2 linked regions of the Arabidopsis thaliana genome follow. The protein of the gene in region 1 interacts with the protein of each later gene in a biochemical or structural test. Each region holds a gene or a part of one and is shown in the gene's direction. Other genes may lie near its edges.

Evidence for each region. The genes of interacting proteins can lie anywhere in the genome.
Region 2: the proteins of CAM9 (region 1) and APRR2 form a complex in vitro, tested with the Arabidopsis thaliana proteins (one study listed by BioGRID).

What each region holds. Positions count from the first base shown.
Region 1 is NC_003074.8:19,267,417-19,271,383, reverse strand, and holds CAM9 (calmodulin 9), read left to right. Parts: upstream 1-1,725; 5' UTR 1,726-2,069; coding exon 2,070-2,145; intron 2,146-2,238; coding exon 2,239-2,399; intron 2,400-2,489; coding exon 2,490-2,567; intron 2,568-3,065; coding exon 3,066-3,206; 3' UTR 3,207-3,433; downstream 3,434-3,967. UniProt on the Arabidopsis thaliana protein: Potential calcium sensor.
Region 2 is NC_003075.7:10,002,346-10,009,445, reverse strand, and holds APRR2 (CheY-like two-component responsive regulator family protein), read left to right. Parts: upstream 1-1,826; 5' UTR 1,827-2,053; exon of another isoform or gene 2,054-2,292; intron 2,293-2,670; 5' UTR 2,671-2,763; coding exon 2,764-2,911; intron 2,912-3,393; coding exon 3,394-3,543; intron 3,544-3,639; coding exon 3,640-3,686; intron 3,687-3,767; coding exon 3,768-3,845; intron 3,846-3,930; coding exon 3,931-4,401; intron 4,402-4,484; coding exon 4,485-4,625; intron 4,626-4,709; coding exon 4,710-4,964; intron 4,965-5,172; coding exon 5,173-5,238; intron 5,239-5,347; coding exon 5,348-5,422; coding exon of another isoform or gene 5,423-5,455; exon of another isoform or gene 5,456-5,531; coding exon 5,532-5,708; 3' UTR 5,709-6,600; downstream 6,601-7,100.

The sequences.
Region 1 (3,967 bases):
TTGTTTGACCAGTGATGTTAATTGGACCATATGTGGATACTGTAACGTTAAGGATTATGAAAATCAAGATATAGATATATGTATTTTTCAAGTATACGATATACCAAATTAGTTACGACAAAATGCGAATGAGTTGGTAGTAATGAGTAAACCTCAAAATACTGTTTTTTTTTTGTCAACAAACTTATGTTATTATACTTGGATGACTTAAATAAGCTAAACCGAAAAACATTGTTTAACCTCAAAATACTTATTTAATTAGTTGGTAGCATCGTTACATATTATAATTACGACTACGAGTTAGATTCTCAAATAATATTCCCAAATGGATATATTTACATCGATTGATGCATGCTTATTTGTAGTGATCGTCCCTTATGTATATTATGTTTTTATTTTATTTTTTGAACATAGTATAATATTGGTGGGAGAAGACAAAAATAAGGGAGCTCTGCCATCTAATACGGGAATCAAGATATCTGTTTTACATCAAACAAAGACTAGTGTGATGAAATGAAAGTTAAGTTAACAACAATAAAAAACAAAATTAGCTGAAAATGTAATCAAATGAGAGATCCGAATCCGATCTCCGCTAAGTAAAGCGTAGTGGGAGCGTAAATTCGCGTGAGTCTGATTCTGAATCGTATCATACATACCAAATCAAACATTAACGTTTATGATCTTACTTACCCATATCTTATTTCTTAATTTGTTTGGTTGTTTGTAAATGAGAAATACACTATGATAAGAGAAGAAGATCTAAATGAGGCATAGATCTCTAGATACCAAAACAGATAACGCCACCAACTAACATCCAATTAAGGATATATAACACGGCATCTCCCTCTTTAGTAAGCTTACGACCAAAGTAGTGTGACTAGTGCGGAACATTTTTGCAGTTAATACTACTTAGCCTCAATTCTTAATTATGACCGTATGGGACAGGGTAGGTAGGCACAAAGCGGATATTGTTTTTAATATATTTGCATCGAATTTGGTTTGTTGGATCGATAATCTTTTAATATGTATCCGCTTTTGAACTAGTCTATTCTCCGATTGTAGAATGAAACATCTATCCGAAATTCTAATTTGTAGTATTAGTGATTTGTTTTGTTTTTAACAGTATTTTAATATTTGTTTAAATTTGTAAACTTATGGTTATCCAGACTTTTTGAATCATTCAAAAGTGGAAAACAGATCGAATGGAAGTATAGAACACTACAATATATTTTCATATTTTTCTTAGCCGTAAGCCACTAATATTGGATGGACATAAACATAAGAGACCCCACAATATTTATCAGATTAAGCCTTTATTCACATTACAATGTTTCGTTCTCAACTTCTCATCATAACGTGAATAAAAGTAGGAGTTAGAATTAGAACACAACATCTCTAACAAATCTCTTATCTGCATTGCTTTGGAGAGACATGTTTGTACAAGAAGAAAAATGTTTATGGTCAGTCCGTTTTTTTCATATTGATTACCTTTTAAATCCCATTTGGTATTAAAAAAAACCCACTTCTAAGATATGTTTCGCTTTTTATGGTAACAAGACATATAACTTTTCAAAGTTACTGAATGGAATTCTTGACAGAAGTTGTTAGGACACTAAATAATGGAAAATCAAAATCAAGGGTTACATTAGAGACACGCGTACATCAATTATTTCTTAAAATGCAACTTGGTGTACGACTTTTAATTCTTGAGTCCTCAAACCCGAGCATTACTCCACCCTTTCTTTTCGCAATAATCAAGATCCTAATTTAATTCCCTATAAGTATTTTTTCTAATAACTATGAAAATAAAGAAAAATAAGCGTTGAAGTCATAAGTTTGAACAAAGACGCGTGACCTGGAATCGTGCTCAAGAAAAAATATCACAACTAATGAAAACGCAAGGTCATGAGTATTGACCTTGACCGGGCAAGAGCCTAGAGCCAAGAGGTGATGTGTACTTAAATGTGATAGATGCTCCCTTCTTCTTCTCTCATCACTAACAAATTAAGAGAAGCTGATCATCAGATTGAATCAAAGACAGACTTTGACTTTTCTTTGTGATCGAAGATATGGCGGATGCTTTCACAGATGAACAGATCCAAGAGTTTTACGAAGCCTTCTGTCTCATAGACAAAGATTCCGATGGTCTGCTTTGTTCTCTCTCTTTCTTGTTCGATTTGATACACAAATTTATTCAGAATCGATCGGTTTGATGATGTTATGATGCATGTGAAACAGGGTTCATCACGAAGGAGAAGCTAACGAAAGTGATGAAGTCGATGGGGAAGAATCCAAAGGCGGAACAACTGCAACAGATGATGAGCGATGTTGACATCTTTGGCAACGGTGGCATCACTTTTGATGATTTCTTGTATATTATGGCTCAAAACACTTCTCAGGTAAAATATATATACACACTTAAAACCGTTTAGTTATAGTAAAGATTGATAATTGTAGAGAAAAGTTAATAATGAAAAAATTGGTTGTAGGAATCAGCATCGGATGAGTTAATTGAGGTATTCAGAGTGTTCGACAGAGACGGAGATGGTCTCATATCTCAACTTGAGGTAAATAAATTGTCTAACTATTTACCAAATAGTACATTGTCCTGACATGGAAACAATAAAAAACGAGTTACATACATATATAATAAGATTAAGTGATCATGTAGATGGATATAACGAAAGAAGAGAAATTACTAAATGTTACTTTTTTGAAGACCTTGTTATTATTATCTTTATAATCTACTATCATTCACTCATTACAACACAAATTTTTGTCGCCATAAGAAACTCCATTGCTCATATGGTCTTGTTTTTTTTTTCTCAAACCGACACGGCGACAACACAACAATCGAGAGACACATAGTCACATACTACTTGAAAAATACTTCGTTATCTGAATTAAAAAGATTTATATTCAAAAATAATGCAAAAAAGATTGGTCATTTAACTTGGTCAAATGGTTATTAGCTTACTTTTATAATATAAGCCATTCTCTTAACTCTTAAGTCTTAACTATAGTTTATTTAGCCATTTCTCCTAATTTCTATAAACGAAATGCAGTTGGGAGAAGGAATGAAGGACATGGGGATGAAGATAACAGCAGAAGAAGCGGAGCATATGGTCCGAGAAGCCGACCTTGATGGCGATGGTTTTCTTTCTTTCCACGAATTCTCTAAAATGATGATTGCTGCCTCTTATTAGCATTTTGTGAAATGCCATGATTTAAGAGTTTGTTTTTGCACAATTACAACTATATTTCAATATGTTACTATATTTTCCCAACATATAATTAAAGTGTGTGTTACTGAATCAATGATTTTTTTCGGTCGATAAAAAACTATAATATTTTTCCTATCCAAAATTCGAACCAAACCAAACCAAACCAAAAGTATTGTTCTGTTTTAAACATATGTTTTTTAAACCGGAAAATCCAAACCGAACTAAACCGAGAGTAATTATCTGACTCGGTCACTCGACGGTAGCGTGCCACAATTGAACTGGTGGTCGATCCTTAACTTCCATCTTCAATCCTTGCAAAACCCTAATGAAGAAGCAGTCTGAAGAACCAAAAATCAGTGGTTTTTTAATAAGTAAATGGTGAGAAAATCTGTTGAACTGTCGAATTTGTTTATAACCTATCAGCTTTGCTATAAATTGTTTGTTCCAAATTCCAATTCAAGTCCCCATCATTGAAGGTTAAGTAGCTTTGCTTTTTTGTCTGCCGACGGTTGTTGTAGAAATTTATGATGTTCTTGATGCTTGTCACTTTCACTCATATTGAGATCTGTCTCTCGATTCATGTTTCTTCATCACAGTGGACACAAAATGACCTAGAAGCTGAGATAGTATATTTACATTGAGTAGAGCAATTTAGTACTTGCAATATTCGTTTTAGTAGTGTCTAAAAAAGATAAGGCTTTGGTTGAACTCCATTCTAAAACCCTTACGACTGATTGAGCAAG
Region 2 (7,100 bases), on another chromosome or scaffold:
GTCCGGGCTAATTTAGTCGGGTCATGTAGGTTTCGTTTATTCAGTTCATTTAGTTTTCAAGTATTTGTAACCTGCCTTTCGTCAACACATCCAAGTATCCAATATAATCTATTAGATGACCAAAAAAAACAAAAAAAGGAAACTTGTAATTTACAAAGCATAAACATTATTTGTTGATGTGAAATCTCTAGTTTTGAGATTTACTTCTACTCCAATCTTGAGTCTTTAATGTCATTATTTTACTCCAATTTTGATGTTCAATTTCTTGAGAAAAAAAAACGTGTATTATGTATTATTGGAGAATTTTTTACCGAATATCTCTTTAGTATCGTAAAAGAAAAATGTTTATCCTTGCATACATAACATATAATTTGCTCATACGGTTTTTATAAGTAATGAAGCTTTTTATTTTCACCCCCAAAGAACAAACATCTGATCATCTCCAATTTTGACCTCAAAAGAATACGATGAAGTTTGAATAATTATGTTAAAAGGAAAATAAAATAAAAGGATGGTCACGGAGGAACGAACAAGCGAAAGCAATGATCATTCCAATGAGTAAAAAATGACCATCTACTAACGAAAGTTTTCCATTATATTATGTTTTTGCCTTTTTTCAAAATAATCACATTGGTGAACTTTTTGTAAGAAAATTTATACTATTAAAATTGAGTAAGAATAATGACATTAATGACTACCAATTCATAACTTTACTCTGTTTTAAAATAATAATCACAATTGGATATGGTCAAACTAAAGTTTTCCATTTGCCGTTACAAGAAATGCTATATAAGTTTCGTTTGGTTGTTGAATATACCTCATTATGAATTTAGGACAATCAATGCTATTTGTTTCATCTGTAATTAATTATATCTAACAATCAATTAATGACAATAGAAAAGAATAATGTGTTTACACTAATTCTGTATTCACTAATCTAGATTTTTGCGCAATTTGAATTTTAAAGTTTAGTGTAAGGTTTTTTTTTTTTGGGTGCACACTGAATATAGTTTAGCCTAAGTAATACTAGATATATAGTAGTAAAAGGAAATAGGTTTTAATTAAATTAAGAAGTTTGGTTAAATTCAACTGTTGCTTTGAAACCACACACACATGTCATCATAAAAGTTGGGCAACGAGTTTGAAAGATGGAACCTCTGCAAAATAAAGTTTTTCTTTCCCTACCTTATGCATATATAATTATTTTCCACAAACATAGTGTACCATCAATAAAAATACATATATGATCTATATTTTGGCATAAAGTTTTCCATTATTTTCTTGTGATAATGATTATGGTAAAGATTTTTAGTGCAGATTAATTTTTTGGTTATTAGATTATTTGTTCTTTAAAATGCAGAAACATTGTTGAAACTTAGAACCAAATGAAAGCTGAATATTGCTTGTTTTTTTTTTGTTTTTTTTTTCACAATATTGCTTGTTTTAGTTTGTTATGTTTTCATTTACCATTCATTTAGTAGAATATATTCATTAGTTAATAAAAAAGCTTTTAAAAGAGTTTTCTTATCATGTTAGTTCGGTTTACTTCGCACCGTTTTGATTGGTACAAATGGGTATAGTTCTATACCGGACAATAAATTTTGTTATATTTTTGTAAAATTATTGGTCTACATTTAATAAAACTAGGCTAATTTTGATATAATGACATATTAAGGGATTTAGATTTTTTTTTTTGGTAAGGTTTAGATTTTTTCTTGTATTGTTATAGGAAATTAATCCTATATATTGATTAATAAAGACAAAAATAATAATTAATCCTTATCTCTTTTTTCCTCTAACCTCAGTTAACCTTTATCTTAGTAAGACTTTTTATTCTCTTTATCTCTGTGCATAACCCAATGACAAGAACAACACTAGTCACCAACTTATTATAACTCTTCATCCATTTTCTCTCTCTCAAAGTCACCCCCCAAATTTTTTTATTTTTTTTTTTAACTTTGAATGTGACTCAGGATAGAGAGAGGGCGAGACAGATAAAGAGAGCTTGAGGAAGGATTTAAGCAGATCTGCAAGAAACACTCTCTCAGGTAAGGTGAGAACTCTAAAATATGAATTTACTCATTTGACTTCTGAATTGTGAAAGTTTGTTTGTTTGGTTTTAAATTTCCAAAGCTTTTCTTTTGATCAATTACATGTTCATTGCATGTGATGTGAGCATGATCTCTTATCTGGATATAAGATCTTCTCCTTCTTCTGCTTATGGAAAGAAAAAAACATCAGTTTTATCGAAAGTGCAACTTATGATTTGATCACAATTCTTTTTCTCTCTGGGTATATATCTCTCTCTCAATTTCCCTAAATTCTAGGGATTTGCCTTTCTCCTTCATTAGTTGTCATAAGCCTATGTTTTAGTATTTGTTAAAGGTCATTAGTCTGTGTTGTTAAGTTAACTAATCACTGCATGCACGAGTTAAACAACACTAAACTAATAATATATTCACTCTTAAATGATTCAAAAGCTTTGTTAGATTTCATGGCATGGTGGTCCACTCTTTATAAATAACAAAATCAAGTTCCTCATGAATTATTCTTATCTCATCAATAATACACACACCTTTTGAATATTTACTTTTCTTGTATCTTTATTCTGTCTAATTTTTTTGTTTATTCTATTCATTTCCCCTTTTTTTATTAATAAAATCTAGCCAGTGTTTACTTTTTTTCCGTAGAATCAAACCGGCGGCGACAGTGACGGCGGCGAAAAGCGGCGGTGTTGGCCGCAAAAACGATGCAAAACCAGCTATGGTCATTACCGCTAACGATTTATCAAAATGGGAAAATTTTCCTAAAGGACTTAAGGTTCTTCTTCTCCTCAACGGCTGTGACAGCGACGGAGATGGCTCCTCAGCCGCCGAGACTCGATCAGAGCTCGAATCAATGGACTATATCGGTAAGCCACTAATTTTCCTCTGTTTCTTACTTTAAAGGTTATTTAATCAGTGGTTATGCATAAATATTTAATCATAAGTTATGTGAGTGAGACTATACTAGTTTAATATTAGAGTTGCTTTAGCTCTTACATGTCCCGTGACAATTCTAAATTGTATCGCCTTCTATTATATTTGCATAAATACACACAGACATACACAGGTATAGATTGGTCAATAGCCTATGAATAGAATTATACCATTATTGTGTATATATATAGGGGGAAAAATAATATTAATATGTAAAATGCAACGCTTTTAGTTGATACGTACATAAGTAGTAAAAGCTTGTGCAGTTATGTTTTGGACTTTTGTTAGTTTATATTTATGAACCAGGATCCAAATTATCTCGAAACTGTTTATGGATTTCTGTGTGTTTTGACTATCAAACACATAATGTTAAGATTATAGATTCAATTTTTGCTTTTTTGGAACTTTCTTGCAGTTACTACATTCACCGATGAAACTGAAGCACTCTCTGCGGTTGTCAAGAACCCGGAGAGCTTCCACATTGCCATCGTCGAGGTGAATATGAGCGCTGAGAGTGAGAGTTTCAAGTTTCTTGAGGCTGCCAAAGACGTTCTTCCTACTATAAGTTTGTGAACCTTTTACAAGTACCCTTTTTATTTTTTCACAAATCTTTACAATACGAAAAGATTGTTAAAATGTGGATTCTTTTATGTCTTTACAGTGATTTCAACCGATCATTGCATCACTACTACAATGAAATGCATAGCGGTAAGTGATTGCGACTTGCATTTGCGTAGATGTATAAGAATGTTGGTTATGTGATGATGAGAATTGATAAGTGTTTTTCAGCTTGGTGCAGTTGAGTTCCTACAAAAACCGCTCTCACCGGAGAAATTAAAGAACATTTGGCAGCATGTTGTTCATAAGGTTTAGTTAGTTTTTTCGCGTCTTTAATTCCTCGGTAATATAATCATAATCTAAGAAAGTTGTTGTTACATTTTTATGTTGCTAGGCATTCAATGATGGTGGAAGTAATGTTTCGATATCACTTAAGCCAGTGAAAGAATCCGTTGTCTCGATGCTTCATCTTGAGACCGACATGACAATCGAGGAGAAAGATCCAGCGCCATCAACACCGCAATTGAAACAAGATTCACGGTTACTAGACGGTGATTGCCAAGAGAACATAAATTTCTCGATGGAAAATGTAAATTCCTCGACCGAGAAAGATAACATGGAAGATCATCAAGACATCGGTGAATCTAAATCAGTCGACACTACAAACCGCAAATTAGATGACGACAAAGTGGTTGTCAAAGAAGAGAGAGGAGACAGTGAAAAAGAAGAAGAAGGTGAAACCGGAGATCTCATAAGCGAGAAGACAGATTCAGTTGATATTCATAAGAAAGAAGATGAGACTAAACCGATTAATAAATCATCCGGGATCAAGAACGTGTCTGGTAACAAAACTAGTCGAAAGAAGGTAACGTTGTGTTTCTCTTGACGCTCCTCAGTGCTAAAAGATTCAAGCTCTCGTTATCATTGTTACTACTTTCTTTTCTACAGGTGGATTGGACACCAGAGCTGCACAAGAAGTTTGTGCAAGCAGTTGAGCAACTCGGCGTTGATCAAGCGATACCCTCGCGGATTCTTGAGTTGATGAAAGTAGGCACCTTAACAAGACACAATGTAGCTAGTCACCTTCAGGTAATTAGATCCCAAGGGTCGAATGTTTCGCAAGATTTCTGAATTCTTGTAAAATGTTACACAACTTTTGAAAATTTTGACCAGAAATTTCGGCAGCATAGGAAGAATATTCTTCCAAAGGATGATCATAACCATAGATGGATACAATCTAGAGAGAACCATAGACCAAATCAACGTAATTATAACGTTTTTCAACAGCAACACCGTCCCGTGATGGCTTATCCCGTTTGGGGTCTTCCCGGTGTTTATCCGCCAGGAGCGATTCCACCTTTGTGGCCACCGCCGCTGCAGTCCATTGGTCAACCACCTCCGTGGCATTGGAAACCACCTTATCCAACGGTAACATCTTTTTATAAGTCAAAGATTCTAGCTAAAATAAAATAAATCACATTTATCTGTACAAGAAAATGTCATTACATATCTACAAATTAAACGATAAAATGAACTCATACCTATACATTTTAGCTAATGCATTCTCTATATAGACATATTTTGTGACATTATGATAGAACATCCATAGCTAAATCGTCCATATATGATGTTTCAGGTGAGCGGTAATGCATGGGGTTGTCCGGTTGGACCGCCTGTGACCGGATCATATATTACTCCTTCGGTGAATATTTTCACAATCTATAATATTAAACTTTATATTTATGGAAATTTAATCATTACAAAAATCTTATTTTTTAATTTTTAAAGAGATTTTTGTTTTTTTGTTGCAGAATACTACCGCCGGCGGATTTCAATATCCCAACGGAGCTGAAACCGGCTTCAAAATAATGCCGGCGAGTCAGCCGGTTAGTGTCAACAATTCTCTATTTTCTTTTTAAGACATAAAAATTCCTAATTAATTAATAAAAAATAAAATTTGCCGGGTCGGGTTGCGATGTAAATGGGTCGGGTCAGGACGAGGAAATGTTAGATCAAGTGGTTAAAGAAGCGATAAGCAAACCGTGGCTGCCGCTACCGCTCGGGCTAAAACCGCCGTCCGCGGAGAGCGTTTTGGCTGAGCTAACGCGTCAAGGCATCTCAGCCGTCCCTTCTTCTTCTTGTCTAATCAACGGCTCTCATCGTCTCCGCTGACGTGTCCATGATGAAACAGAACCCGCAGATATGATGACGTCATGCGTGGCGTACTTGTCCGTGTCTGACGATCCGAAGCGGGAACTGATTCGGATCCTGAGAGTTGTTTTTTAATTGTTGTTTTTAATTTTTTGTTGTCATAAAAACATTTGTCTCTATTGGTATTATTAAAGAAGATCGGACGGTGGAGATAGAGGCAACGATGTTAGTCTGAGGACCACAAGTGGACTCTGCGGCTGTAAGTAGATCTCGGACACGGGATTTTGACAAGTCGGAATCTGACGTGTGTGCGTACTCGCTTTTGTGGGTTGTCGAGAATTTAATAGTTGACACTGTTTTAGGTGGATATGAGATATGATGATGATAATAATAAAAAGGTACAACTCAAAGATTCCGTGATGACATTTTGTTCTTTTTTTCTATAAATTCCAAGATACACACAACAACAACAACAACAAATATACATCTTTTCTTTTCTTTTTTTGCCAAGAACAAATATACACTTATTCACATCGGACATAAAATGTTTTACATTACTTAGATGTGTTTGGATTTCTATTTTTAACTTATGTGATACATACTGATTGCGTTATACAAAGCACAAGAAAGTGCTAACAAAATTATCGAAGTAGACAAATAGAGAGACTACGTTTTATATTGGGCCTAAAAAGAAGATGTTCAGAATTGGGCCTCGTTGATGACTTTATCGCAGCATAATGTCCAGGGGATAACATTTTCAGAAGATATCAAGAGAAAAGAGTAATGAGTATGACAATATAAGTGGAAATTTATTAAAATTCGGTAAAATGTATACCAAAAAGAAAAATCAGAAGATCCTACGAGCTAGAAAACAAACAAATATTGCAAATATAATATCTGAAACCAAGTGGATGTATAATTGTAAAATCGCTTGCAATTTTATATATATATATATATATATATATATATATATATATATATATATATATATGATCATGTGAACTTGGAGTCTTATTAGACACGTTATTTTATTCGGTGGAACTCAACTAGAGACTAACTATTTTTGTAGAGTTTACGAACTTATAACATGCTTATTATACCAAATCACATGATTCAGTTTATCTGAATAGGCTGTTTTTACTCTAACCAAATTGTCAACCAAAATAAATTTAAACAAGTTTTCGGAACAGAAGATTCCCCTCAAAACATACAAGTCATATTATTTTTCTAGGACATTTTTTTACCAATGCATACATAATTTTTGGTGTGTAATGCACGAATTCGTAATCGTATTTTTTCTTTTGTCGACACTTCTCTGTATATGTCTGGTTAGCTACAAATGCACTAAACATTTTCACATAATTGATAAAAGAAGTGCATTGTGGACCAAGAAAAAGAAGCTCAATGGTGGAG